4 linked regions of the Elephas maximus indicus genome follow. The protein of the gene in region 4 purifies or fractionates together with the protein of the main gene of each other region. This does not show direct contact. Links are inferred from orthologs where the notes say so. Each region holds a gene or a part of one and is shown on either strand. Other genes may lie near its edges. The genes, in order: SP1, IKBKG, FBXW11 and NFKB1.

Region 1 (7,932 bases), on a different chromosome or scaffold from region 4:
AGCATTCACAGTGACTGTGCCAGCAGGGATGGAGGCAGCTGAGGCAATGGGTGTAAGGGTGGTGTTGCTGCTGCTTGTCTGCCCCAAGGAAACACCCTGCATTGGAGCCAAGGTGATTGTCTGGGCCTGTGGGTTCTGAACTTGGAGGTTCTGCAGCTGAAGAGTCTGCCAACTGACCTGTCCATTGGGCCCCACCGTTGGTGTCCGGATGATGATAGGGCCAGAGTTTGGAACAGCCTGAAGCTGGAGGTTCTGGAGGGTTTCCTGGGAGATAGCTTGAGTTGTAAAGGTCTGCCCTGACAGTGGTGCTGCTTGAAGGGCCTGAAGGGCCTGTCCCCCTTGAACTAGCTGAGGCTGAATAAGAATCTGTTGTTGCTGTGTCTGCTGGTTTTGCTCTCCCTCTTTTTGCTGACTTGTTTGCAGTGAGCCTCCAGATGTCTGGTTCTGCTGGATGTTCAGAGCATCAGACCCCTGTAGCCCACTGACCCTCTGGGGTGTCTGGCCTTGAGAGTTGGTCCCTGCTGATCCGCTGGTGGTAAAGTTCATAATTCCCATGTTGCTGGTGGTAGTAGTTGTTGAGTAGCTATTGGCATTGGTGAAAAAGGAGCTGGAACTGGCTTGTGATACCAGACTAGCAGAACTGATGGCAGTCCCTGAGGTGACAGGCTGTGAGCCACTCTCCTGGGACCCAGAGCTGCTGATCGTGACTGCCTGAGAGCTGGGAGTCAAGGTAGCTGCAGAAACGCTGTTGACAGGTAGCAAGGTGATGTTCCCATTCAGGGCCACTGGTACATTGGTCACATACTGAGTCTGTCCTGAGAGCACATTATTAGCCAGGCCTTGCAGGGGGACAGCCTGCTGGAGCAGGTTTGGCATAGCAGCAATGATGTTGCCTCCACTTCCTCGATTTGTGATAATCTGTTGGTTTGCACCTGGTATGATCTGAATTTGACCAGAACCATCCTGCTGCACTTGGGCCCCAGTGGCTGCAAATTGCAGCTGCTGCCCATCAACGGTCTGGAACTGTGGGATTACTTGATACTGAATATTGGGCATCACCCCAGGCAGTCCTGTTAGGACTTGCTGGTTCTGCAAATTGGGGGCCGCAGCCACAACATACTGCCCACCAGAAACCGTGCGATTCTTGGAAGACTCACTGCCATTGCCGCCATTAGTGCTGCTGCCACTCTGCTCCTTTGAGGTAGGGGTAGCCCCAGAGGAGGAAGAGATAATCTGCCAGCCATTGGCACCCTGTGAGAGTTGTGTGGCTGCAAGGTCCAGCTCACCTGTGCCCCCTGACTGGCTTGGGCCCTGGGAATTGTTGCTGTTTTCATTGGGTGACTCAATTCTGCTGCAAGTTGCTGCTAAAAGAGCCAAAGGGGATGGCTGGGACTCCTGGTCAGAAAACAAGGAAGAGAAAAGGAGTTATTGACACCCAGCTGCCAGCCTAGGAGGACAGTGCACAACAAATAAAGAACAAAATAGTGCAGACAAATAACGACTAAAAACCAGAAACAAAAAAACCAATCTATCTGTATTGCTGCAATTTCCATCTCTGGGGATCTCCAAGTCATTTCTCTCTCTCTATACTTACTTCCTCTATCTGTAAAACTGTTTAGTCCTTTCCTAAAATTTTTTGTGTGAGTAGTTAAAACAATTATCTAGGAGTATTTACATGCTCTCAACATATTCCCCACACTTTATCTCTAATCATCACTTACCTGACCTCCTCCTCCTCCACTGCTGCTACTGCCTGTGCTGCTGCTGCGAGCCTGAGAAAAGGCACCACCACCATTACCACTGCCCCCATTATTGCCACCAACTCCTTTTTCAATCTTCACCACTGTTGTCATTTCATCCATGGAGTGATCTTGTTCTAGAATGAAATAAAAATAAACAACATAAAATTGGGGAGAAAAAAAGGGTAAAAGAACATTATGATGAAACAGAAATGACTAATAGGAAGGTAAAAGGTGCCTGTTGAAAGAAAATGGATTAGGGGGGAGCAGTTGTAGGACAATATGACGTGAACCAGGCTCTATGGTGCCAGAACTGGGCCTCAATTTTCCTTTGTACAAAATTAAACTCAGAAAACATTCAAAAAATGCTTTTGGGATAGGAAATGTGAGGGACTGTGGGTATGTTGAAAGAGTTTTAAAATAAAAAACATGCCAGGGGAAAAAAGGGAGAAGGCCAGGTAAGGCAAAAAACAACATGTGGGTGGATGGAAAGCTTGCTAAAATTAGTGTTAAAGGACACGGAAAAAGAAAAAAATACAAACATAGAAAGTAACAAGAGAACAGAAAAGGGAAAGATAAATGATGAAAAATGTGAGTGGAGACACATTAGTAAATACAGGTAAGGAGCTAAAGGGGTCTTGGGATTAGAAATCAGGTTTCGGGGCGGGGAGAAGGCGGGCCCTAGGGAGAAAGGGCGGTTTCGGGGTGAGGGGCGTGGAAAGGGCGGGACGATGGGGGGGAGGGGAAAATACAGAAAAAGGGGGGGGGGAGGGCCTTGGGGCAGGCGGCGACCAGAGGGCGGGCCAGAGAGGCGGTTGGCCCGGGCGGGGCCTGCACGGCTTGGGCCGCCCCCGCGGCTCCAGCCCCCGGCGGGAGGAGCCTCAGGCGGGCAGTCGAGTAGTGGGGGGTAAGGCCCGTCCCCCGTGGCCGGGGCGGGCAGGGGGCGGGCGAGGCCACGCTGCCCCCTCCCCCGGGGCGGGCGGCCCATCCCCCTCCTCCTCCGAGGCCCCGCCACTGCCCCTTCTCCCTCCCTTCCCTCCGCCCCGGGCGGGACCAAGGCCGCCGCCGCCGCCGCCTCCCGCCCGCCCCCCCTCACGGCGGGGACCGCCCGGTCGGCCCTCGCGCGCGCCCCCTCACTCCCCTCCCACCCCTAAGCTTGGAGTGGACTCATCCTTACCGCTCATGGTGGCAGCTGAGGGACGAGCTCAAGGGGGTCCTGTCCGGGGGGGTTGGGGGGGGCCGGGAAAAACGCGGACGCTGACGAGGCAAGCGAACCCGGACCGGACGGGGAGGGGGGGGGTAAGGAGGAGGGAGCAGCGCGCCACAAGCTCGGCCTAGGCCCCGCCCCTTCACTGCTGCCCCGCCCAATGAAGGAGGGGGAAAGGCGGGACTTGTAGAAGAAAGGCGGGCAGGGTATCCAATAGCACGACTCAATTGCTCTCTAGGGCGTGTAAGACAGAAGTGCGTGCCTGGTATCCGCCCCAAAATGCCGCCCTCTCAGTTTTAAAAACCAGTGAAAGATGCAGGAAGTGAAAATGGGCGGGAGCTGGAGATGATAGGCTTGGAGGGAAGCCAGTCAACTGCCAGGCGGGCTCCTTGAGCGGTAGCGATAGGGAGAGTTTTGATAAGAGTGACAGAACAACGACCAACCAGAATTCTGGACATGCCTGGGCAAAGTCCTTGTGGGAGGAGAGGCCGGAACGGGAGAGGATGAAGTTGATCAACACCAATCAGAATTCAGGCGGGCAGCCAGAAAAGTCATGATTGGATAGACACTGAAAAGAGACAGATCAGGACTCATATTGACGTGACTAAAACCCTATTATCCGCCGAATGAACTCTGGGGGCGGGAACCTGGAGGGGGCAGAGCAGAGTTGGCGTCTACCTCAATCGCTCGGCCCAATGAAGGGGCGCAGTAGGCCAGGGACCGCCCCCAAGTTGGCCAATGGGCGTTACTAGAGCCGCCCATCATGGGGAAGGGAACAGGGCTGTGCCAAGAGGAGTTCGTCGCCATATTGGCCCTCCTTAGGGGACGTCTTTTACAGTGATTAGATGGTACACTTAAGCAGTACCCTGTAGCTCCACAGGTGTCAGGGCAAAGACCAAGAAGTCCCTTCAGCGCGCAGTTCTGCCCCACCACCCCGGCTCGTTTGAGTCCTCATTGAACCGCCCTTAGAAAGTACCTCTCACCCCTCCCGAGGCCGACGAATGCCTCTGAGTGTGGGTGTAAGCCCTGTGAGTGTAGGCGAGGTGAGATCTGGCGACAGCACTGTCAAAATCAGTTAATACGGAGCTGACCAATTTACAAGGTTTTTGTGAGACTCTAGCAAACACTATTAAGTTCCCGCAGAGAAAGCACAAGCTACTTGCAGCGGGTTAACTTTTCAAGAGTTTCTCTTTGGGGCTAAAGTGCATTGGAGAACCTCCCCAAGGTCCTAAACGGCTTCCTTTTTTAACCCCCTTAATTGTAAATACCGCGTAAGTGTAAAGCAAGATAGCCGAGTTCCTGTTTCTTGAGACGAAAGTTAAAGGACATGGTTTTGCCCGAGGCCCCTTAAGTTCTGGCCTCCATTTTGCCTCTTTATCCCTGTTTTAGTGGAGGACGACTGGGTGGCTTGTAAGTGACGTAATGAGGTCATTCTCTTTAGCACTTTTATCTTATCACTTCTTTATATATTTTCCTGTTTTAAAGTCTGAATTTCCCCTAAAAGATTTTAAGCCCTTTGAAAGCAGGAACTTAGGCTCTGGTCCTTTGGGCAAGGCTTGGAAGCGATGAAGTGATTGTTGAATGCCTACTGTGTTAGGTGCCAAAGTGGATTAGGTGCTTTGCGTACCTTTTGTCATCTTAATAAGAACGATATTATTAAGTAGTGTTAATATTATTTTATAAGTGAAGAAACTTAAGCTGAAAAGTTAAATAATTTGCCCAAGGTCACAAAGCTTTTAAGTTGAGCCAGATTCCAGACCAGAACAGTTCCGCAAAAAAAAGTCTACAAATTGTTAAGTGAATAAAACAATGCCTTATATAACCATTTGTATAAGGACATTCTCCAATTTTTGTTGTTGTTTTTGAAGAAAACTGCTTTTGCATTGTTACTTTCTATCTCCTGAGAAAAACCTACCTATACACTTTTTTTTTTTATACACTCAGGGCAGCTGAAATGGCATCATCTTGTACACCTTTATTACAAACTTTATCACTTAACCAACATCAAAGTTTCTCAAAATGTAATATCAGTCTGTAACAATCATCTGGGGTGCTTTTTTAAGAAGCAGATTCCTAGGCCTCACCCCAGACCTAGTAAATCAGATTCTCTGTAGTGGAGTATGGGATGAGGTTTAAGAATATGCATTTTTATGCCGTTTTTTCAAGTGATTAGTTCCTAATCCAGAGTTGGAGAAACACTAAGGGAAGAACTGCATTACTCATCTTGGTAAACTAAACACAGGAGATTCTAACAGCTGTTCAGTATAGTCAGCAAAAGACCACACCTAAATTTACTGGGGAAGGGGAAAGGAACTATTTTTAGCACACTCTCTAAACACTTCAAATATATTGTCTAACTTAATCCTTTTAACTGATAATAAGAGACGCCATACCCTTTTACAGATGAGAAGAGAGAGGCTCAGACACTTAAATTATGGCCTGTTGTTTTAGCTCCAAAGCCTGTGGGTTTTTTTGTTGTTTTTCCCATAGTTCTTATAAGCTAGTCTATGCCTGAAATGGAAACTAGGGTTTGGTTTTATTCCCAGGTACTGAGAAAAAGATCTACATTTAGACTCAAATTCAGTAGCCATCCTCCCTTTCACAATTCTTTCCCTTTGCTCTTCCTAGGACTGGATAGAATTCAGCACCTGACCAATGAGGAATGTCTTTGACATATCCTTGCTTATTGATAGTCTCTGAGAGCAAATGAACCATGATCCATCTTGTCCAATTCTCCTGCAAAAACTGTAGCAAAAAAAAATTTCTTTAGACCAAACCAAAAAAATTTGTTTTTAATGCATAAACTTATTTCAGGTCTTCTCAAAATCCTTCCAGTGTCTGTCTACAAAACCATTTGCAAGATCATTTAAATAACTCCGAAGGACTTTCTTTAAAGAGCAATGTGATTCCTATGAACTTGAATTGTGCCTGGCTGTGATGTAGTAAGCCTCACACATACTAAGTGCTAACACAGCAGCATGGCATTGAAGTCTCTTAGTGGTCAGCCCTTCACTTATTCAGGCTCATTATCCATTACTGTCCACTGTACTCTCTTACCCTTCACTTTGTTCTTGTTGAAATTTCCCCCAAAAGCCATGCTTTCTGGGATCTTCAAAGTCTGGACTTTTATAAGTACAGTCCACTCAGCCCGTCTTCCTTCTGGGCTACCAGACAAACTCTTATTCGTATCTTTGATAAGTACAACTTCTCTGAAGTCTTCCCTACCACTCCCAGGTATTGAATATTCTGTCCACTATATCTTTTTTACATACCTCCATTAAAAGTATCTAAGTATCCATTGTCCCCCAACTAGACTAGGCAACTTGAGGACAAAGATGATGTCTTTTCATTTTGTATTCTCAAGATAGAGCATATAGTTGACACCCAGTAAACACTGTTAAATGAAAGGAGAGGCCTAGTAGTGACCATCCTGAATAGGTCTCGAGACACACAATGGAATAAATCATTCTTCCTGATTCTGAAGCCACTCTTCAGCTTTGATCAATTTCCCAGTTATGGATCTGGTAATTATCTGATAATTGGGAACATTTTATAAATTAAAATATACAGATGATCAAAACCCTCCTTTTATACCATCATTATAACCTTGCCTTTCAGCAAACTTTCAACTAAAGCTAAGAAGAAAAAAAATAGTGACTTAAGATAATAATGTCTAAACAGTCTTCTAACCTTTACTTTCTAGCTCTCTGTAACAAGAAAACAAGCCTAAGTTTTTTTCTCATCAGTCTGTAATTAGTAGGCTAATACCGTTTGCAGTGCAATGGTGACTGTAGAGGCTGGATGGGTCATCACACACATCCCTCAGCCTTTTAAAGGCCCTGGAAAGGCAAGAGCCTAATCCAGAAAAGAACTGTAACAAGGCAGGCTTTTTTTGTTTGGGAAGTCCAAAACCTGGCTACAGATATTATTATTACTATTTAAAACAACTCATCCTGTACCCTTTCTGTGCCTTTGTTTCCTTATGTGAGAAGCATTGTGATTCATGCCTGCCTAAACTGTACTAGGAAGGCATTCATTCAGTCCATGGCTGTGATGATCCTGAAGGCCCAGGAGGAGGAAGAAAGGGGGGGCAGGAGCAGGGCCGGATGTGTTTTTCTGTGACAGTTGGGAGAAACAGTCAAGAAAACAATTTAGTTTTTGTTGGAGCTGAACTCTGGCCCAGCCTTCCTGAGTATTCTCTTCTGAAGGATACTCTTAAGATCTGAAGAGGTCTGCAAGAAAACAGCCCAGACTGTAAACCTAGCTGATAGTTTCTGACCCTTGAAGAGTCTTTGCCAAATAAAGGTGGTTTGAGGTCTAGTGGAGAAGAGGAAGAGAAATTCCTGAGCCTGCAAATTCCCAAATCCTTCAGAATTGAGAGCTAGAGAAGACAGGCTCAGGGCACCCAGAGGGGTCAGAGACCAGCCTAGACCATAAACAGTGCAAACAGTGCTTTTCTGCACATTAAATCTGACCCCTAGGGGTTCCTGCTTGGAACAAACACAAAATCAAAACATTTCTCTCCCCCAAAATACTCAAACTCCTCAGGGAGCCAGAGCTCACCAGAGCTAGGAGCTGCAGCAAGAGCAAGACACGGAGAGAGGAAGCCAGTCCTTACTACCAATGTACCCTCCTCACAGACACACACACACACACACACTCCTCCCAGCCACCCTGCACCCCGAGGGCGACTGGAGTCCTGCCTGGCAATTCAGCATTAAAAAAATAAAATAAATTCTCTTTTAACCAAAAATGAAGCAGTTTCCTTTTCTCCTTCCTCTCCTGGGCCGAGTAGCCCTGAGACTCCACCAGAATCCAGGGTTGGGGAGAGAGCTACACCACTCCCAGTCTCCCATTCTCAGAAACGGAGAGTGTCCCCGACAGGGTCAACAGGTCTGGGAAAAAGACGTACCCTCTTCGGGCACCCACCGCAGAAGTTGAAGGAAGAAAAGAGAGCAAGCAAAGGGAGAGGCCAGGGGGCTGATC
Region 2 (7,597 bases), on a different chromosome or scaffold from region 4:
TTCAAGTAGGGAAACTAAGGCCCAGAGAAGCAAGGGGATTGCTGAGGATGCCATGGTGAGTCCACTTTGCTGAGCAGATTCCCAGTCCTGCTCTCTCTCACTCCCTTGGCACCCCGCCCCAATGCCGTCCGTGTGGGAGAAGATCCACTAGCCAGCCTCATGGAGCTCCTATCAGATGGAGGAAGATACATCCTTCTAGGTCCAAGGTTCTTTCCCCCACGCTGGTCCATAAGGAGAAACTGGTTTCTTTCATTTGAGCTTTCTGGGCTGGGATCCCTGCCACTGGGAAAGTGAGCTCTTCTACTCCCTTCCTGGGTCAGGGGTGGGGGTGGGGGTGGGAAGAAAGGCCTGAGAAAGGGGAAGTGGCCACATAGCAGGGAGACAGGGGCTCAAAGCTCGTTTTGTAACTCTGTGAGGCAGAATCAGGCTGCCCCCAGGAAGAAGCTGCAGTGTGGGTTTGGGTTGGGTAAGTGGGTGCAGGAGGCAGGAGGGGCAGAGCATGGCCACATGGGTCTGACCTGCTCAGGTTCTGGGCCCGCTAGCCACTGGCCTCCTGTCAGCTTCTAGGTCACATCCAGTTTGCTCTGACTCAGGGCTTTGCCTCTGCTCTTCCCTTTGCTCAGCAAGTTCCCCTGGGGCCTCGTGCTGCAGACCTCAGTATCAGGTGCCTCCCCCTCCCCAGGGCCCACCCTGACCACACCTCTCAAGGCCTCTGGCCCCCTCCCAGCCCTGTTTGTTTCTCCTGTCACAGGTACTGCTCTGAACTCACCTTGCGTCCCCAGCCTCCCATAAAGCACAGGGCCATGAGGGCAGGGATTGTGGCTGCTGTGGTCTTGGTGTTGCCCAATGCCTAGCACAAGGCCAGGGACAGCAGAGGCCGGTGACGGCTACTTGTTGAATGAGTGAGCAGAGAACGCAGTTTCCCAAAGCACCACCCTGCCTACCTCTGCAGCACAGGATGGGAGCTGTTCCAGGTGCTATCAGAGCACCCCGGGTGGATGCCCCCACAATGCTCCCTCTAGTCCTTGCTCCAAGGGAGGACCTGCCCACCCTGCTCCAGTCCCCTCAAGCAGGAGAAGAGTCAGGAGAGAAACAACACAGGCTCTTAGGAGGACCCCTGGCCCTGCACTCCACGCTGCGAAGCCAGCACTTCCCATCTCTGCTTTGGAACCTCTGGCTGTTGCCCCTGGGCAGAGGAGAGCAAAGGGGAACCCTGCTGGTTGCGTTGGAATAGCGTTGCCTAACCCCAGGCTAAGGAGCCCTAGTGGTGCAATAGTTAAGTGCTTGGCTGCTAACTGAAACACTGGTGGTTTGAACCCACCCAGCGACTGGGCGGGGGGAAGATCTGGCAATCTGCTTCCATAAAGATTACAGCTTAGAAAACCCTATGGGGCAGTTCGACTCTGTCACAGAGGATTGCTCTGAGTTGGAATCGACTCGATGACACCTAACAACAACAGCCACCACCACCCCAGGTTGGCCACAGGCGAAGACAGCAAAGAGCCATAAAACCAGCTCGGCAGAGCCTGTGGACCCTTGTCATTCATTCAGAAACGCTCAATTGATATGTGCTGAGGTCTAAAGCCCCAGATCACACAGCCTATCTGGATGCTGTCAATGATGAGACCCAAGACTCTACAGATGAGTCTTAACCCATCTGTGTGGGACCTGGCAAACTCTGTTGGTGTATCCTTGCAACAGGCCAGTGTGGGGATGGGGAAAGGAGAAGAAAAAAATCCCGAATTATTTTCTCTTTGAGCCTGTTTCAGGGACTAAGGGCCTCACAGCCAGGATACTAGGTGTTAAGGTTTGTGGCTGATGCAGATATGACTCCTCTAAGGGGACCGTGTGCTTTGCCTGGGTGGGGGTGGACAACACCCACCTTTCTCAGGTTTTGGGGTTCTGGGTGAGGCAGAGGGCAAAGCCCTTTTCTCTCGTACTGGCTCTTCTCCTAGAGTACAGCTCATTCTAGCTTGCTTGCCTTCTTGTTATTTTCGGCTCTCCTTCCCAATTTCTGACCAAAGACACAAAGGCACAGAGCAGGCTCTGTAAAGGGTGGCGGCAAGTTGTTCTCTGTGAACAAAGAGCTGCCAAGTGCCTCCAGCACGAGGGGGAAGGCAGCCTGTGGTGTGAGAGTTGCAGAGCACTGCCCACTCTGTACGGCTCTAGCTAGTTTGGGTAGAACTCTTGCTCAAGATTACATAATCAGTTAATGGCAAAGATGGCCATATGAATGCTAACAGGTTCTTGGTCACACTCATGTTTAAGTCAAGAGGCAGCCCTGGCTGCAGGTCTAGCAAGCCCCTGCACATCTCACGCAAGGCAGATCTTATCTGCATATAGCACACTGGATAGGGGCTGTGGTCCGGGGGCCACAGCTTTACTAGGACCACCCCCTCGGCCCCCCAACCTCTTCCTTACATGTGCTATACCTCTGCCTTTATATTGATTCTTTGTCCTTCCCTATCAAAGCAAAATGGCAGTTCCACAAACTAGACACTTGGGGTGGGACAAGGAACAGCTCTTTAGCAGGCCTTAGCGGTTGGGGAAAAGATATGGTATGAAAAGCAAAGCTGAATGTTTGTCCCCAGGGATGATGAGGTGGTAGAAAGAGGTGATGATTGGGCCTCAGATCTTTCCTCTGGAACAAATTAACTGTGTGATGTTCATCAAGTCACCGACAAGTTTGAAAAAGATGCTCCCAGAAAGAATAGCTTCCCCTGTCTGCGGCTCAGTTTTCTCAGTGGAGGGGGAGGAAGTCCCTCAGGCCCTTCCAGTTTCAGGTCTACTTTCAAGGTCTGAGCATGGATTTAGAAATGCCTCCCAAGTGTCGGTACAGCAAGGAGTGCTGTGATGACAGTGGTGCCTGGGCAGGTCACGGTTATAAGAGTGAAACCTCGCAGTGCCTGAGTGGCCGCTGCACAGTTAGTTGGGATAGGTCAGGTGCAGAGCCAGACGATGCCTTGGGCAATGTCACACAGTAAGTCTGGCTTCTGAGATGTGGCTGTGGGAGACTCACCGAGGCGCCCATGATGATGAATATGTGTGTATCAGACTGGTGGAAGGCATCGCCCTGGTACAGCTCTTCCCGGAGGATCCCGCACACCTGGGTCCGGCTCAGGGCCACCTGCTCAGCCATGGTGTTCTCTGGGGAAAGAAAGGCTCGTTGACAAGCCCACAGAGGAGAAGCACCTGGAAGGGGGCCTCTAGGCTCTCAGCAGGCTGACGCCTGGTTACTGAAACCACTGGCTGTGAACGTGCCCGGGGCGGCCAGGTTGGGTTAGAAACTCTTGGCTCTGGGCTCTGGCCATACTTTCCCAGGCTCCAGCCATACTCTCCCAGGCTGCCTTCTTTCAGGGAGTACATTCTGGACCTCACACAACACGATCATGACCCTTTCACTCTAAAATCCTGCACTCAGGCGGGAACTCATCAATGCGCGGGATCCTGGTAAACTTAGCGGATGATGGAGTCCGCTTCAGCTCTACTGCTGCTAACCTGGGCGACCCCGGGCAAGTCCCCCCTTCTCAGGGTCTCAATGTCCTCACTGGCCCGATGAGAGGGGGGTTGCATTGGACACTATGATCTGTTAAGGCCCTCTCACTCGATCCGCTACCAAGTACAGCAAATACCGCCAATCCAAAGGACGTCTTGAGGTAGCGAGCAGCACGTCCTTCCGCTCTCTCGGTCCGCCCGACTCGGTTACCTGTACCGCCTCGCTGTCGCCTGCAGCGCTCGCAGCCCGGGAGTGCGCGCTCATTTCCGGGGGCTGCGCCCCGCGAGCCCATTTAACCGGCGGGGCGGGGGCCTCAGCTGAGCTGATGGGCCTCAGGCGAGGCGCGCGGGGCGGGGCCTCGACAGGCCCCTCCCGCGCGGGGCGGGCTGGGGCGACGGTGCGGGGGTGGGGGGAAGAGGACAGGTGCGCGCGCATCCCCGGCCCAGCTCGCGCGCCAGCCAACCCCCCCCTCCACCCCGCTCTCACTCCGCCCCTCAGGCACCTGCGCCGGCCGTCAGGCCGTGGACTGGCTCCCGTCCCCGTTGCGGCTGCTCCGCATCACCGGCCGCCTCTCTAGGGGTGAGGCTTCGCGCGGCCTGGTGCAATTCCGCGTCGTTCACCGGAGTCCCCATCTCCAGCCCAGCCCAGCCCCGCCCTGACATCCTGGTTTTCCCGCCAGCCCCCAGGCGACCATGAGCCCTCGCGGAACGCTCGACTTCCGCCGGCAGTGTAACCACGCCTCCTCTGGCTCCTCCCCCTGGCTTCGGGGCAGGGGTTCTGAAGCCCCGCCCCCTCACGGACCGGTCGCCTGCTCTCGCGGGTCAAACCGGCCCTATTGGTTGGCCTCGTCTTGGCTCCTCCCCCGATAGGGGCGGGGCGATCGATCGCCCCGGGAGGCGAAGGGAAGTGGAGGTTGCAACGTCTTGGAAAAGGGCAGGTGGCTCTCATCGTTTGGATTCGTGGTCCGCGGGACCTACCGAGGATGGTGGACTCGCGCTTTCCTCGGTGCAGGCCTCGGCCTTGAGGGAGGTGCCCGTGCAGCTCTCGAACTCACCGGGACGGGGGCTTGCCAGATTCACTTCCGTATCCCACGGCTCCGACACAGGAAGCCGGAAGTGCAGGTTTCGGCTGCAGGAGAAGGGAAGGGCGACCGCTGAGCCGGGACTTTGTTGGAGCGCTGGGGATTGTAGGAGCGCTCGCGCCCCGCTGCCCCTGCCCTTTTCGCATCGGACCGACTCTGCTGACAGGTGTGGTCCTCTTCCCTGAAGACAGGGTACCATCGGCGGGCGCTCCGCCGCCTCTCCTAGACTCCCCGGGTTTTCCGGACTGCCCCCTCCTTTTGGGCCCCGGGCTGGTTCCTGCCGCGCGCTTCTAGAGCACCGGCCGAGGCAGGCGGATTCAGGATCCAGGCTACTTCAGCGGCTAGCGGGACTGTTTTGGCACCCTGTCCCTCCGCCGCGGGGTCTGACTAGTGTGAAGAGGACTCTTTCCACTTAGGAGATATTTTTTTTTTAGTTAAGAGATATCTTCTGTCTATCAGACTTGAATGCATTTGAGGGCGTTAAGTCATTTAAAAACACCTCAAATATAGCAGCTAAATGTCTTACCTTGTATAGCTCAGTTTGGTCGCTTTGCAAAAACAATTAGTATCTGCCGAACCTCATCCCATCCCTACGACCTGAGGATGAATGAGTTGTGCCTGGCTTGTTCAAGGAACGGCAGAGCAGGCCAGTGTAGCTGGGGCAGCGTGAACAAGGGAGGGAATAGTTGGAGAAGAAGGAATAGGGACCAGATGGGACAGGGCCCTGTAGGCTGATGTAGGGACTTTGGCTTTTACACCGAGGGCAGTGGGGAGCCATGGCATGGTTCTGAGTAGAGGAGGAACATGATCGGAAGTACCTTTTAGACTGTTTTTGCTGCGTTTGGGAGAACAGACTTAGCGGGGCAAGGGTAGGAGCAGGGTGACCTGTTAGGTTATTGCAGTTATCCAGGTGAGAGACCATGGTGCCTTGGGCATTTTATTATGGACAATTCCAAAGATGTACAAAAGTAGAGAAAATAGTATAGTAAATCCCATGTACCCACCTTCCAGCCTCTACAATTATCAATTGTGGTTAATCTTGTGTAGTTTATACCCTCCGCAACCCTTTCCCATTATTTTTATTACTGTTAATAACACCTAATGAGATATAATTCACGCACCATACAACAAACACCCTTTTAAAGTACACAACTTAATGACTTTTAGTGTATTCCAAATTGTACAACTATCTCCACTACCTAATTTCACAACATTTTTATCACCTCAAAAAGAAACTGTGCCCTTTAGCCATCATCCCTCATTCCTCACCTGCCTCCTCCCAGCTGCTGGTAACTATAATCTATTTTCTGCATCTACCTGTTCTGAATATTTCATATAAATGGGGTCATACAGTATGTGTTCTTTTGTGATTGGTTTCTTTCACTCAGCATGTTTTCAAGGTTCATCCATGCCAAAACATGTGTTAGTACTTTAGTTCTGTTTATGGCCAAATCATATTCCATCGTATGTGGATGTGGAGCTCTGACGGTGCAGTAGTTAAAAGCTCAGCTGCTAACCAAAAGGTTGGCAGTTTGAAAGTTCGAATCCGCCAGCTGCTCCTCGGAAACTCTAAGGGGCAGTTCTACTTTGTCCTATAGCGTTGCTGTGAGTTGGAATCGACTTGATGGCAGTGGGTTTGGGTTTGGTTTGGTATACAGATGTACTAAAAAAAAAAAAAAAAAAAAGATTTTGTTTATTCGTTTATCTGTTGATGGCATTGGGATGGTTTCCAGTTTGGGGCTGTTGTGAGTAATGCTGCTGTGAATATTCACGTGTGGACATGTGTTTTCATTTCTCGAGTGTACTCCTAGGAGTTCCCCCATTATTTTGAAGCAAATTTCAGGCATCGTATAATTTCATTTGTGAATATTTGGGTTGCATTTTTCTAAGAAAGGATTTATTAAAAAAAAACAAACTTAACTGTGATATCCTTATCACATCTAACTTAACATTAATTGCTTAGTGTCATCAAGTGAATTTGGGGATGCATTTGATAGGACGTTCAGATGGATTAGATGTGGAAGAAAGGAGTCCAGAATGATTCCAGGGTGTCTGTCTTGATAACTGGAGAATGGATTTGCCATCAGCTGGTAACGGGGAAGGCCGGGTGGAACTGGCTTTTGGGAACTCTCAGGGGTGCAGTTTTAGATCAGTTAATGTTGAGAGCACTATTAGATATCCAGGTAGAGATTCCGTCTGGCCTGGAGATCTCTGATTTGGGGAGCCATCAGCGTTCAGTGATGGGGCTTAAAACTGTGAGACTAGATGGAATTCTCAGTGGAGTGAATGTAGCTAGAGAAGAGGTCCCAGGACAGAGCCCTGGGGCACCCCAACATGAAGGGATGGGGAAAAGAGGAGGATCCAGCAAAGGAGCCTGAGCAGGAGCAGCCAGTGAGGCAGGAGGGGAACCAGGGGAGTGGGAGGTTCTGGAAGCCAAGGGAGGAAGGTCTGTTAAAGAATCGGGGGGGAACCCCAAACCTACTGCTGTCGAATTGATTCTGACTCATAGCGACCCTCTAGGACAGAGTAGAGGTTTCCATAGAGTTTCCAAGGAGCGCCTGGTGGATTTGAACTACAGACCTTTATGGTTAGCAGCTGTAGCACTTAACCACTATGCCACCTGGGTTTCCAAGGAAGAGGGAGGAATCTAGAAGTTCCTCCTCCACATAGTCCTCCCGGGCAGGATTTCAAAGGGCTTGGGCTGCTCTCCTGCATGACCTACCTCCACTCCACAAGAGAATACAAGCGGCTCAGGCTGGCTCTTTGCCCCACTGTCTCAGGCTGAAGGCTCAGTTTTCACTTTCTGATACCTCAGCACCGATCATATGCCGGGGGCTCCTCACTCCCACCCCCTGCCCCCAGCTCCAGGGAACGCTCACCAGGCTCTGAATGGTTTAAAAAAAATGTTTTTTGATAGTAAATCCTGGTGGCTTAGTGGTTAAGAGCTACCACTGCTAACCAAAAAGCAGGTTGAGTCCACCAGGCCCTCCTTGGAAACTGTATGGGGGCAGTTCTACCCT
Region 3 (7,435 bases), on a different chromosome or scaffold from region 4:
AGAAGCACACTATATTAGCCCATGCCTCACAAGGGGGTAGGAGTCACAATAGGGATTGTATTTTGAAGATTTAACTATTCTGCTATCACCGGTTTTATTTGCTAGTCAATTTATCAAAAGTGCAAAAAGAAAAATTATCAAAGAAAGTAGAGGGATGAAAATTTAGAAATGGAGGGACCCAAAAAGTCTGCTTTCTCTTTTTAATATAGCACATTCTGGGATGTCGAGTGGATGTTACCTTGTTAACCATTATATACTAAACTGGTACAGGCAGCGCAATCACAAATATTTGAGTATTGAAGATGACTCATAAAATCTAAAAATATTTCATGTTTTAGGCTTTCAAAATATCATCACTTTAACTCCTTCCCCTCCATCAATCATGTTATTTTGAGACCAATGTAAAAAATGTTTTTAACCTAGTTCTAGAAACTGTTACTAAAATGCAGTGAATACACAAAACCAGGTGCAATTAGATTTTAAGGCATTACCGTTCCTACATTTGACCCTGTGTTTACTCAGTCAGCAGCTAAACGTGCTATCTACTATACTAAAACACATACATGCATGTTCATGTGAAGGGTTGTTTAAGTATTAACTGATATCCCTTTCAGGGAATATCAAAATTCTTACATGAAAAGCCATTTTAAAACTGACCGTTACTACTATACTCTCTGTTAAATATTCTAAGAATTTCAGTTTATAGTGTCCTTGAAAGACTGGAATCTCTTTCCAGATCCGCGACAAGTACTATCATACAATATCAAAACTTTTTATCTTATGAATACGGAAGGGAGCCAATTTAGGACCAGGATTTTTTTTTTTTTTTTACCCTTGCACTCAAAGACAGTGAATTGGGTTTCACTGTATTTCTCCTAATCCCTTCGAAAATAAAGACATTTTAGTTATTTTTTAAGTGAATGGAAATGGAAGGAGCTCAGAATAGCCAATTTCAAAGAGGTACCAAGTTACAATTTTTCAATATGAAGTATTCCTCCAGTTGTAGGTACATGTATTGTATAAGCACATCCTTAAGCATACTACACATGTAATTTCAATTAAGATATTTTACCAAAATAATCTACCACAAAAGTTGCAGAATATCAAATTTTTGACTACAATAATTTGATAAATTATGCTGAAAAGGAAAAATCACTCAATAAGTGAAAATAAAAACTCACAATTGACAGTACCCCCTTTGAAAACAACCACACAAAAATCAGAAACTACCAGAGTTTGGTTTGTTTCTCTAGTTCTCAAGAATGTTGGGGAAGTCTAGTTGTGTGAATTATGCAAAGGACAGCAAATATTAAGTTGCCTCTGTATTTATGCTACTGTACTTCCATTTTTAAAACATGCATCTCAACTCCCCAGATACCATCATCCACAGAAACCAAGCGGCTATCTAACAGACTTTCAGTATCACCATTTATTATTTATAGCATTAAATGGGGGAAGTGGCTCTGATGTCACCGACCCTACCCAGTGGAATCACTGACTCAAAAAACATTTCCACACTGGAGAAAATCTGGCTAGGAAAACATTTTGCTAGGTTAAGTAGATTCTTTCACCTTTCCTCTCAACCCTGGAGTAAAAACTGTTACTGTGTGAGGAGAGATACAAAGAAACTGTCAAGGTTTCCACAGGAAAAAAAACACTGGGCATGTTCATCGCTGAGGCAAAGACTTCCTCCCCCCAACTCTCCAGAGCCGTTTGATTTCCCTAATGTTCAAATTAGTAGGTAATACCTGCCATGTTTTATTCCTTCCACCAAGTCATCCACCGTTTAGCAAATTCCTCACTTCTACTAGCCACTCTCTCATGGTCCTGTTTCTAAAAGGCCCTTCTGGCTCCAAGTCCTAAGGCGGAAGGGGGTTGAGTGTATCCCCGGGTCAGGCAGTCTGGCCTTGCTGCCCATGGTTTCTAACAGAAGAGTGATCATTTCCCCCAGGGGCCAAGGATTCTCTCTCTTCTCTTTTTTTTTTTTGAGAAGAAAGAACTGGCGGCAGTGATAAGGACGATGCCTCCTCCCTAATTTCACAAAGCAGCTCTATAAGCGTGAAGTTACGGTTTCCCTTTCCTGGGGGATGGAATCCAGGGTACCTGAGGCAGGGCTATGCAAACGTCCCTCTCCGCCGGTGAGGAAACCCTTTGTCCGAGCAGCCGGACACCACAGGGGCCCAGGAAAGAGGCCGCCCATCCGTCACAGCCTCAAACCCGAGAGCTCCTCACTCCCCAGCCCTGTAAGGCCTATCTGGGCACCCACACAGCCCCAGCTGGGGAACAGGGTGCTGAGGCCCCTCCTAGGGCGCGGAGGCCCCTCCTAGGGCGCGGAGGCCGCCGCGGCCCTGACCATCTCCTCTGTACCCCCTCCCACCTCACTCGGCCCGAGTGGGTCTTGCAAGCGCGGTGCGGGCCTGGGCCAGAGAAATAGAGGGGTGAAAAAAATGCCCTTCCAAGAAGAGAATGAGGTGCTAGAGCGAGCAGTGTGAGCTGAGGCCAGAGCATAAACGAGCGAGGGTCGCCCCAGAGATGGGCCCGGAGACGGGACGGGGCAGGGGAAGGGGAGAAATGAGGGGAATGGAGTGGGCCGGGCCAGGTCCGGCCTTAAATCTCGAGGGATCCAGAGCAGCCGCGCCGGGCCCGAGGCCAGGGGAGGCGGGAGGCCCAGGCTGGGGCCGAGGCGGCGGGGAAGGGCTAGGGCCGGCCTCGCGCCGTACGTTGAGGTGGGCAGGACCGCCCTGGAGCCGGACGGACGGAAGAACGGTCGGTCCAGCGGGCCGCACTCACCATGAGCTCGATGGTCTTGTCCTCAATTACCGAGTCGGGCTCCATGGCGGCCCCGGCGGCCCCGCCTCGCTCTCCCCGCGCAGCAGCGAACGGCCCCAGCGGAGGAGGCGACGGCGGAGGCGGCAGAAGCGCAGGCGGTTATCGCACCCACTCTAGCTGCCAGCCCGCCCGGGCCGCCGGCAGCTTCGCCCTCCCCCTCGGCGAACGCAGTACGCAGAGCGGGAACTACAGCTCCCAGCAGGCGCCGCGGCCCCCGCAAAGTGTTGTGGGAACGGGAAGCCAACGCCAGGCCAATCTCTCCTGGCAGCCCGAAGCTAAATTCTGGGCTGAAAGTAGCACTGGACTGTGCATGTGGGATGTACAGACCTGAAGAATTAAGGGATCACTCAGGGTTGGGCCTCGGGAGCGCCACGACTACATGTCCCAGAAACCCGTGCGCGCGGGCTCTTCTTCCGGCTAGTTTCTCCCGACTTCCTGACAGCCCAAGGCTGCCCAGACCCGGACGGAAACTCCGAGGCAACTCCTCACTTGCCAGAGATCCTGCGTGTGCGGCCAATTTCCGCACATGCGCGGTCGGTGGCCGCAGTGCCCACTCGACGCTTAGGTAGAGGCGCGGCCGGTACACGGATGTGTGGTGGTAGGGGCAGAAGTTGGAGACAGGTTGGTTCTCGGTTGCGTTAGGAGAGGATGGTCTTGGGGCTCAGTTATGGGAATGAACCAGTTTGCAAGAGACACTCGGGCAAGGGAGGGAGCTGTGAGAGGGTGGGCATCCCAGGAGTGAGGAGTTTGAAGATTTAGTTGGGGAAGAGGAAGTTAATGGAGATGTGCTGTGCTGCTGTCGATGTGCAGCCTGAATTAGGAGGAGCTGAGAAATGAAAGGGAACCTGTGTATATTGAGCCACTCTTACTCATTTATTCGTTCCAAAAATATTTGTTAAGCATTCAGGCACTGCTCTAGGCACTGGAATCAGCTCTGAACATGGCAGACGAGGCCCCTGTTTTCACTATGGAACTTAATTCTTAGTGAGAGGAAGACATATTAACCGGAAGAGTGATGGGTGCTAAAAAGGAACACAGCTAGAAACCTAGAGACTCCTAGTGGAATCTGCCTCCTACTGGGTGTGAACTTTATCAGGTCTGTCAATGCCCTTTAGCCACAGACCACCAGGAACACAAGTTGGGTGAGAGGGAGATAGCACACCATAGAAAACGGTGGGGCATCTCAGTAAGAACTGGGTTAGGTGATTGTTTAAAGAGGTGAGTGCTTTTCTCTGGATTGGTCGCTGTCAGGAAATGAGGGTAATTCTCTGGAGGGAGGGAAGGCCTAGACTGAGGCTAAAGTTGTAATTGGTAAGGAAGCAACAGTCCCTTAGCCAGGATGAGGGATATTTAGTCTTTTTTGTGGTTTGGACAGTGTTCATATTTTATCTGTGTTCAGACAAGATTGTGGAGTGAGTGGTCTTGTTTTTGTCTTGATTTATCATGGTCACAGAATGACCTTGTGTGAAGTTTACGTTCTGTGAAATTGTTTATGTTCAACAGAACACAGGGCCTAGCTGAGTAACATCATGGCCTGATCGTACCAGACCAACTTTCAAATGCCAGAGGCTGCTTTTCTCTTTCTCAAGTGTTTTTGCATTTCCTGCACCTGTAAAGTGAGGGGACCTAGGAATCTTACCATTTCCAGGGATAAAGTTATTGCAGTAATTTTTATGCATGTATATATATACAACAGTGGGCTTAAGCATAACAACGATTGTAAGGATGGCACAGGACCAGGCAATGTTTTGTTCTGTTGTACCTGGAGTCGGAACTGACTCAGCAGCACCTAACGACAACAACATATATGTGCTTAAAAAAAATAAAATAACTAAGCCCATTGCTGTCAAGTTGATTCCAACTCATAGTGACCCTATAGGACAGAGTAGAACTGTCCCATCGGGTTTCCAAGGAGCAGCTGGTAGATTCGAACTGCCAGCCTTTTGGTTAGCAGCCAAGCTCTTAACCATTGAGCCTCCAGGGTTCCATGCATGTATAAAATAATTTTTCATACAGGTAGGACACAGTGTAAGTTTCCTGCAGGCTGGAAGTTTCATAGTCCTTACCTGATGCATTCCACCAACAGAATTGAAAGAAAAGCAATAGGAAGAAAGATCACAGAAATAGAAAGTTATTGCCATTAACTTGCTGTATGAGTATCACCAGGCCCATTTCCCTCTCTGGGCCTTGGGAACTTTGTTAGTAAAACAGGGTTAGAATAACCTCTGTTTCTAGTACCTATTGTGGCTTAAAATAAAAACTAGCTGCCTTGGAGTTTGTTCTGACTCATGGTGACCCCATGTGTGTCAGAGTAGAACTGTGTTCCACAGGGTTTTCAATGGCTGATTTTTCAGAAGTAGATCACCAAAACTTTCTTCCAAGGTGTCTCTGGGTGGATCTGAATCGTCAGCCTTTCAGCAGTGGAGCACATTAACCGTTTGCACCACCCAGGGGCTCCTACTGGTTTAAAATAACTGTGGTTTATTATTTTTTACAATTGTGTGGGTCGACTGGGCAGTACTTTACATCACATGGTGTAAGCAGGTTACTCCTGTGACTGCATTGCATTCAGCTGTAAACTCATTCAAAATGACTTCTTATCCTCAAGGGCCTCTCTTTTCCACTTGTTTTTTTTTCCATTCGTTATCTATCCCAAGCTTCTTTATTGGATGGGGACTAGTATCCAAGAGGATGCAATGCCCAGTGAGCAAAGGCTACTCAAACTTGTTTGCACCCCACCTGCTAATGCCACACTGGCCAAAGAAAGTCATATGCCAAACCCCAGAGTCAGTGTAGAAAGGGGCTCTACAAAAGTATGAATACAGAGATGCATGGTTTGTTGGGGGTCCACCAATGTAACAACCAACCGAGTCCCCCAAGGCCCTGGTGCCTGCTGCAGGACCTAACCCCAAGGAGTAGAAGTCATGAGCTGAATAAAATTCTCTAATATGTTCGTTTTAGGAGCCCTGGTGGCACAGTGGTTAAAGTGCTTGGCTGCTCAGCAAAAAGTCAGCAGTTTGAACGTGGCAGCTCCTGCACGGGAGGAAGATACGGCAGTTTGCATCCGTAAATTTTACAGCCTTGGAAACCCTTAGGGGCAGTTCTGCTCTGTCCTATAGGGTTGCTGTTGAGTCAGAATCTACTCAGTGGCAGCCAGTTTTAATACGTTTGTTTATCCTACAGTCTTTATTGTTTCAAAATTTGACAGCATTTTAAAAATCTGAATTTCTAGCTTCTCAAAAAAATTAGAACATCTGACTGTTCGATCTGCATGGTAATCTGCAGGGACTAAGTAGCCACTACCTTATTCATATGAAGCACATACTTATCCTATAGTTTTCCACAGTCATCATCACTCCATGTTCTCTTATATCTGTAGGCTTCACTCATTTAAAGTTACATGCCTAACCCATACAGGTATTTGAATTTGGAACTATAAAGAGATAGCGTCCCTTTATGAAAAACATACCCCACCTTAAGAGGAAAAAATACTGATCTTATTTGTACAAACTCCAGGAACTCAGTTGGGGTAAAAGCGCATGCATGAGATAGATTCTTACCCAAGCTGTGTAAGAAGGAAGCTGAGCCAAGGCTTATCACCGTTTTCTCTTCTCACACTAGAACTTAGGTGCTCAGGTATTGTTATTGCTTCGTGCTTGATACCAGCTGGTGATTAGATTTGATGATAGACAAAGGCAGAAGACCTTGAGGCATGTTTTCCCCTACTTTTTCAGAATGCCCTGCAGTGGGATTTATAAGACATGCTAACAACAAAGTTGAACTGGTTCACAATCCCTTAACAGAAATCCTGGAAGCTAGAGATGTTTCAGAATTTTTTAGATTGTAAAAAGGCAGTGTGGAATATATACTATACCTATATAATGTAACATTCTCAGTGGGGGTCTAGGACAGTGCTCCATAATCACATATATTGATTTTTCTGCAGCAGAATATATATGTGTGTGTTATCAATTTACAGCTGCTCAGCTCCATATTCACTCTGCCTCATGCCTTGAGATACTGAGCTGGACCCTGTAAACATTTCTCCTCTGCCAGCTGACATAGTGTTAAGCTTTGTCAGTAGGGAGCCCTAAGGGACATGGCAGAATGAAGGGTCTTCTCTTCCTTGTTCCAGCATGGTTTCTGTTCCTTCTTGCCTCTGTGGTACACAGCGGTGAGTGGCCTGTGGAACCACACCCTCACCCCACCCCCTCACACACACAGGTGGCTGGGACATCCAGAGGGTGGCTTCCCAGTTAGTTCAGTAGCACCTAAGTGGGCAGTTTCCCGCTTGCCAGCCCTGACCTGTAGCACCTCAGCAAACTTTACCATTCAGTGGACCATAATCACACTCTCTCCACACTCTCAGCCTTGTGGTGGAGGCTGGACATGGGGGCTCTTCCAAGTTGTTCCTTCCCTGTATACTCTACCACAGCCCCAAAGGTAGTGGGTGTTCCCTATTACTGTTATTCTGTATTCTTTACCATTGTCTTTACCCCTTAGTACTTAATCCCGGTTACTAGTTAACAATTCTTTAGTTAAATTTTCCCTGTTCAAATTAATGGGGTAGTTTCTGGACCCTAACTGATACAATATGAATATTCAC
Region 4 (6,896 bases):
CTCACCTTTAACTATGAACACTGTGAGTTCAGTATTTATGGGAAGTGCAAGAACGCAAATGAGAAATAATTCCCAGCAACAAGGGTAAATAGCTCCAGTGTGGTTTACTGGTCACCAAGAAGCAGTTGTCATTGAACTGAGAGAAAAGTCTGATCAGACGTAAACGTAGGAACAGGAACAAAACGTCTTACAGTCTCCTCCAGTCCTAAAATTCTATTCTTCCTTCTCCTCTTCCAACAATCAAAACATATAGGATTCATATTATAAACAGAAAACCAATCAACCAACCAAAAAAAAGACACCTTCCTATAAAAGGTAGGACAAATTAACCAGAAACTCTGTAAGACACTGATTTGTATACATTCATTCCTGTTAATGTGGTTCCTTTCCAGCTAGATCTGCAGACCAGGAGAGCATAACTTGAATCTTTACAGGCTAAACTACTCAGCAGTCCTAAGTACATTTCCCACTGGGCCCTCGCCAGTGCTCAGGCAGCACATTTACTCCTCATGAACTCTGAAGAAGAAAAAGATGGTATTTTTTTTATAGTGCTTTATCAAAAATCCATATGAGAACTTAGACATAATTTTTAACTTACTGTTTTAAAATGCCAACTACTGTTCTTATTTCTCCCAAGTTCAAACTAATTGAAGGTTATGAGTAACCACTTCCCCCCAGAAGCCAGAACTTTCACCTCTTCTGAACAGGGGAATACCTCTCATAAATTAGGTAAAACATTTAAGGCCTTGCTGACTGAATGATACTCCAAGATCCAAGTAGCCGCCAATTCCTTATCTGGACCTCCTTTCTACCACAATGAACAATCCCTGAAAGTCTAAGTAGTAACACACTTCATCATTATCTGGACGTTTGAAACCAGTAATAATAATTTAAAAAGCCGTACATAGATATTAACTTCTCAAACTACCTTCAATTTGTTCAAAGGAACAATGACAAGAGACATATGAGCTAGATGATTACTGAATTTAAAATCCTGCCTCATTTCAGACTAATTGAGCTTCCTGCAACTGCAATTCAGTCATCACAGATGATCTTGTTTAAGAGGTAAAAAGGAAGTGCAAAGATCAAAGTAGTGCTTACAAAGGGGAATGACTATTTTGTATGTATACTCCAGTATTTACTAACTGAGTTTGAACAACAGGGGCATTTATTCAGGCCAAGTGAGTGCAAACTGCAGAAAATACCAATAAATTGAAGTTTCAAAGCAAAGATAACAGCATTTCAAATTACCACCAAGTCCTAATAGGATTGTACTGTTTTCTTTAAAAAGTCTTTCAAACTTGTTAGAAGTGGTTTGCTACTCACAACAAGCAGTATTTAATTTCAGCATTAAATCTACATGTAATGAGTCTTCCTTTGTGTTCCAGTCTGTCCAGTAGGCTTTGGCCCAGGAAGACATTTTATCTGAACAAGCTCTGGAGGGCATTAGGAGTTGCAGGTATATCAACAAGGATGAATCATCTCAGGAGAGTCCCCATTTCCCTTATCATATATGTTCATTTCATTTTAGCAACTCAGTTACATGATAAATGTAAAATGCTACAGGAAACAAATTTCTTATTTCCTATCTCCCCAATCTCAGAAGCTCAAAAAAAATTTTTTTTTTTTTGCTTTAAGTTATTTACACGATTTCTATAGTGCATTAGATGGTAAAAGGATTCATCTCTAGAAAGCACAATATTAAAATCAGGAAAACAATATTCTTCAGCTAAGGTCTTTGTTTTAATCAAGTTTTCCTGTTAAAGTTTTAACCAACAATCACGTAAACTACTCAAGAATATTCAGTTGAAGAATTTTGCTAGAAAAATAATCACCGAACATCTAGATCCCAAGCTTTCGTGTTTATCAAAGATGACCAGTTGGTGGAAGAACATTTTTATGCCAAAGCCATTAAATGTTTTAGTAATCCATAATCGTTTTTCCGTTCATAAGCTTTATAACAAAATCTTTACGTTAAATATGGTTATTTCATAAGATACAATACTGAAAAACCCTACTTAACAAAGTCCATAAATAGGTCTGAAACCTTGCTAATCAAATCCTGTTGCATTAAGTCCTATTTAAGTTTCAGGATAGACCAATGAATCAGAGCAAACATCCTCATCTGGGTGTATTTTAAAGACCCCAGGAAAACTTGCATTTGGGATAAGCTTTATTTATAACATTTGTTTTAGAGATTATGCACGTGCCACTGTCCAAGTGTTCTACAAAATCAAGAGGCCTCAAAAGTGATCTAAGTAGGTAGTCTGTTTTCCCTCTCAAATGTCAGGCCCTTCTTATTTTTGAAAACTAACGTACAGGTTCTACAGTAGGTGAATATACTATATCCCGGTTGGGGTGTGTGCAGGGTATGTGAAATGGGGTTTCTTTCAGAAACAGAAGGAAGAGAAAGCCTCTCCTATACAATTCTGAGGAGTTAGGGAGGGTTTTCCAAGCCAAGACGACTGACATGCACTTCTGCTTTCATTTTATGGAAAGGCCCTTAGGTGAAATCTGGTTCAGCACTGCACCAACCACCTTCCCCAGTCTTCTCCGCGCCACAGTGCATCTCAACCCTCTCTCCACCACCCAAACGGGGGTGGGGGTGAGGATTAAATAAAAAGTTTGCAAAGAGTTCCCCTAAGGTTCCCGTTCCCAGCTGGAGTTCATGGAGGGGAAGGGAAAGGACGGCCCCAGCGGCTGCGGCCCTTCGGCCGATCGGCGCCTGCGATGTCCGGATGTCTTTTCCCCTCTCTCGCCAATCCCATGTGCTTCGCAACTACTGTCAACCTCTTCCTACGGTGTAGCCCAGCGGTTAGCGCAGGAATGAGGAAGTGCGAGCACGGCTGTAGAGGGTGCGGGGTGGGTTGGTGGCGGGACTCGGGCCACACGTTCCTAGCGTGGCCCCCACTGGCCCGAGTTTGGCTTACCGTGGTCGCGAGTCTGCGCTGGCCTCACTGCGCCTGTGGGCTCCCCGTCCGGGGCAGCGCGGGCCTGGGGGCTCGGGGACGAAGAGGCCGGAGTCGAAGCTGTCCGGGTGCGGGGCGGGTAGGAGCGGGAGGGCGCGCGGTCTCGCCGGGCCGGGCCAGTCAGCGCCGCGCCATGCCGCAGCGCGGGCGGAGGGAAGCGCAGGGCGCGCGGTGGCCGGGCCGCAGCGGCGCCGTCTTCCCAGCCGCGGCGGCTCCGGCCTGGGTGGCGAGGGGCTCTCGGAGCGGGGCGGGCGGCAGGGCGCAGGCCGTGGGCGGCGGCGGCGGCGGGAGCCCGACCGACTGGAAGGGCAGGGGAAGCTGTCAGCGCGTCGCCGGGCCGCTTCGGTGGCGAAACCTCCTCTTCCTGCCCCAGCTCGCTGGTGCACTTCTCTCTTGCTCTCTCTCTCGCTCACTCTCTCACTTCCTGGCTGGAAATTCCCACTGACGTCGAGAGAGAAGACAGACAGACGGACACACGCGCGCACGCGGCGGAGGCGGGAGGTGGGGTCGCCGCCGGGGGTGGGGGAAGCCCGCACTTCTGGGGGCCCCGCGCGCCCCCGGCCCGGCCTCGCTACCCTAATTCGGCTCCCGCCCTCCTGGGCCGCGTCGGGGCGCAGGACGAGGGGCGTGAGGGAGGCGGCCGGGACGCTGGGGCCCCATGCGGGGCTGCCACTTGCCGGTTGGGCGCTCCCGAGTGGGGACGCCCCCTAGAAGCGCCGGCGGGGCTGGATTGTCCCTGGAAGCAGGCGGTGCGGAGGCCGCGGAGGCGGAGGCTGTGCAGTTCTTAGAGTCGGACCATCATAGAGCCCCTCAGCGCAGGCCCGACCCGCTGGAGGGGATGGGTCGGCAAGGATCCAAGCATACCGTTTATAAAAATAAATCTCATCTGTGTGTTCCATTTAAGTATGTCTCAATTACACTCACGTCTCTTCAGATTTAAACTGGAATTTCAATATTATAATTGATTTGTTTCCAGTGAAGTATAAACATCTACTTTTAATTTTTTTTTTTTTTTTAGTGAGATCTTAAACCCCCTGGTTATATGGCAGTTATCCAGAACTTTCATCTACAGGGCATTGCTAGGCTTTTATAATAATTACTGTGGATAGACTATAGTGATGGTGGTAGCAATGGTTCCGGTCACAGCCCATAAATACATACTGATCTGGCAGGGAAATTTTCTGTTTTGTTTGTTTTTCTGAAGGGACCGCTACTAGAAACCACAGATGAGCCTGTCAGTGACCAGCATTCACTGGTCATTTGAGCTTCTTTACATGCCAGGCATTGTGCTAGGCACGGGCCTGGGGATGCCCTGGTGTGGATTAGCTCCCCAGATAAGACATCTTGAGCTGAAACAGATGTGTGTTTTAGAGCACCTTTAAAAAAAAAAATTTTTTTTTTCCCACTACTGAGTTCAGTGACAATTCTGCAAATTTACTTTTAAAATGTCAGGAATCAGGTAACAACCAGGCAGTGTTGCAAGATACTAGATTGCCCCTAGCAAGTTTCCGCTCTGCCTTGCAGGCCTGTTTCCCCCTGAAGCGTTTGGCAGAAGAGCAGAGGATCATTTGATTGGGATTAAACTGGTCTGAGGTGAGCCCCTGTGATCTTTGGATTGCTCAACAATTTACCTTTAAGCTACTTCTTTTAGCTTCTAGAGTGAATAGTTGGAATTCAGGGGATTCATAAGTCCCTGGGTGGTGCAAATGGTTAACTGAGCTCAAGCCGAAAGGTTGCAGGTTAGAATTCACCCAGAGATCCATCAGCCGTCCAAAAGCCTACAGGGCACAGTTCTACTCTGACACACATGGGGTCACCATGAGTTTGAATCGACTCCATGGCAACTTTTTTTTTTTAAAGGCTTAATGAATTTTTATAAATCCTGTGTTACTATTTACAGGATATTATTATAAATTTTGCCAATACTATATTTTAGTCAATTGATACATAGTTTGTGAAGTGATTTTTGCCACTGACATGCGTGCAAAGGTTGCAGACTCCCAGGAGACAATAAAGTGTTAGGAGAGTTGTATCTCTTCATGGGACAGGGGTGAGCTCGCACGCTTTTCTTTCAGCAGGGCTGGCAGCCTCATTGGAGAAATGATGGAGGGACAGGATTGTTACAAGTGTGAAGCCACTGTGACATTCTTGTGAACGAATATTAAAGGTGTTAATTGGTGAAAATGATTAAATTAGATTTTCAATTCTCAATGATCCCACAGAATGAACTTAAAATTGGGGGTGGAGGTATGAAGCAGACAAAACTGTAAAAGTTTCTAGTCTACTCTTTTCTAATCACCAGTTAACCTTTCTGTATTGCTACTTTGTTTCTCAAAATTCTGTCTAAACTGTCTTCATACTTGCTTCCATGAATGCTGCCTACAAATGCATTCACCCTAAAGTGTCAAGGGATATTTACATTTATCATTTATTTACAAAGGAAAAAAAAAAGCCTAAGTGCGGGATTTTAGGCATTGAGATTGTGGAAAAGGCCCGTCATGTTGTTTGTCACTAAAATATTTGGGACCACAAGAATTTCCCTTCTCACAAAACCCTGTTTGGAAATGTTGGTGTCTGGAGAATGCTGAGGTTGAGATCTGTATAGTGTATACATTGATAAAGAGGAATTGTATAGTGTGCAACGGAGACTCACAAATACAGAATCATAAACTCCATGGTCCATCTTGAGGATAGAACAGGAGCGAATTGTATTTCGATAAAGGGTGCATATGGTTTACTTTGGGTCATGGAGCCAACTCAACATGCTTAGGAACACCTGGGGCACAGTTCTTGGCTATAGGAGCAATGACAAAATGGAAAGATTCCACTAGCTTCAAAATCAGACTTGAGTTGGAGTCCTCGCTTTGCCTTGAATTACCTGTGTGACTTTGGCTGAGTAGTAGTTTGTCTATTACTTGTCTACAGGGTTGCTATGAGTCAGAATTGACTCGACGGCAACGGGTTTGGCTTTTGGTTTGGTATCTGAGTAATTACTTTGTCTGAGTTTCAGTTTCCTCACTGGTAAAATAAGCATGACATTATAGCCGTACCTCACAGAGTTCTAGAAAGGATTGAAGGGAGATGAAGGCCTGTACTACTATAAGCAGTTATTTGAAGGTGAAGGACTTGAAATTAATTTCCTCGTAATTTTAAGAGAAATAAACTTTTGCACCATTGACCACTAGGCCATACACTTATCTTTGTGGCATCTCTCCCTACTGATAGGGAAATATTTCATTTCATTACACCTCCATTAAAATGCTTGCTGTATTCTGTCTTGTGTTTGCACAGTTAATTGAGATCTTATAGAGAGAGTGCTCAATTAGTCTCTATAAGTGGTTACAAAAGAAGAAGATATAATCTCTGCTCCTCAAATAAAGCCAGAAAGAATGACTTCTTATGTAGCAACCGGGACAAAAGTGATTTTTACAATGGATTGTATCATCAAGAATAAACCTAATAGAAAAGGGCAAAGAAACCATCTTTCTTTTAAGATCACATGTAGAATACAGACTTTTATTCTCTTGACAATGAAAATGCAAAGAAATGGAGATATCAATAAATTTAACAGGAGAATATCATTGATGTTATAGACACTAGCATCTTTCTGTCAGTTTAAATGAATATTCACTACCGTTGCTACGGAGCCCTAGTGTCGAGGTGGTTAAGAGCTTGGCTGCTAACCAAAAGGTTGGCAGTTTGAATTCACCAGCCGTTCCTTGGAAACCCTATGGGAAGTCCTACTCTGTCCTGTAGGATTGACTGTCAGTCAGAATTGACTTGATGGCAATGGGTTTGGTTTTTGGTTTGGACAATTGCTATGGAATCGGTCTATGTTCAACAATATCAGGAGGTAGCTTGTGATCAAGAACCAATAGTATTGAAGGAAGAAGTCCAAGCTGCACTTCAGACACTGGTGAAAAAACA

The links.
Region 1: the proteins of NFKB1 (region 4) and SP1 purify together in Homo sapiens (affinity purification with western blotting, with the first as the bait; 3 studies listed by BioGRID). This does not show direct contact. The link is inferred for Elephas maximus indicus from reciprocal best matches to the Homo sapiens genes NFKB1 and SP1.
Region 2: the proteins of NFKB1 (region 4) and IKBKG purify together in Homo sapiens (affinity purification with mass spectrometry; 4 studies listed by BioGRID and IntAct, with this or other methods). This does not show direct contact. The link is inferred for Elephas maximus indicus from reciprocal best matches to the Homo sapiens genes NFKB1 and IKBKG.
Region 3: the proteins of NFKB1 (region 4) and FBXW11 purify together in Homo sapiens (affinity purification with mass spectrometry; 7 studies listed by BioGRID and IntAct, counting the BioPlex papers as one, with this or other methods). This does not show direct contact. The link is inferred for Elephas maximus indicus from reciprocal best matches to the Homo sapiens genes NFKB1 and FBXW11.

What each region holds. Positions count from the first base shown.
Region 1 is NC_064822.1:108,873,501-108,881,432, reverse strand, and holds the start of SP1 (transcription factor Sp1), read right to left. Parts: upstream 3,008-7,932; 5' UTR 2,924-3,007; coding exon 2,917-2,923; intron 1,877-2,916; coding exon 1,722-1,876; intron 1,396-1,721; coding exon 1-1,395. UniProt on the Homo sapiens protein: Transcription factor that can activate or repress transcription in response to physiological and pathological stimuli.
Region 2 is NC_064846.1:1,893,283-1,900,879, reverse strand, and holds the start of IKBKG (NF-kappa-B essential modulator), read left to right. Parts: upstream 1-4,578; 5' UTR 4,579-4,743; intron 4,744-7,597. Other genes in the region: G6PD (glucose-6-phosphate 1-dehydrogenase), read right to left, coding at 3,020-3,147, 3,999-4,158. UniProt on the Homo sapiens protein: Regulatory subunit of the IKK core complex which phosphorylates inhibitors of NF-kappa-B thus leading to the dissociation of the inhibitor/NF-kappa-B complex and ultimately the degradation of the inhibitor.
Region 3 is NC_064820.1:190,963,542-190,970,976, forward strand, and holds the start of FBXW11 (F-box/WD repeat-containing protein 11), read right to left. Parts: upstream 3,020-7,435; 5' UTR 2,836-3,019; coding exon 2,791-2,835; intron 2,785-2,790; exon of another isoform or gene 1-2,784.
Region 4 is NC_064823.1:50,252,785-50,259,680, forward strand, and holds the start of NFKB1 (nuclear factor NF-kappa-B p105 subunit), read right to left. Parts: upstream 3,016-6,896; 5' UTR 2,931-3,015; intron 1-2,930.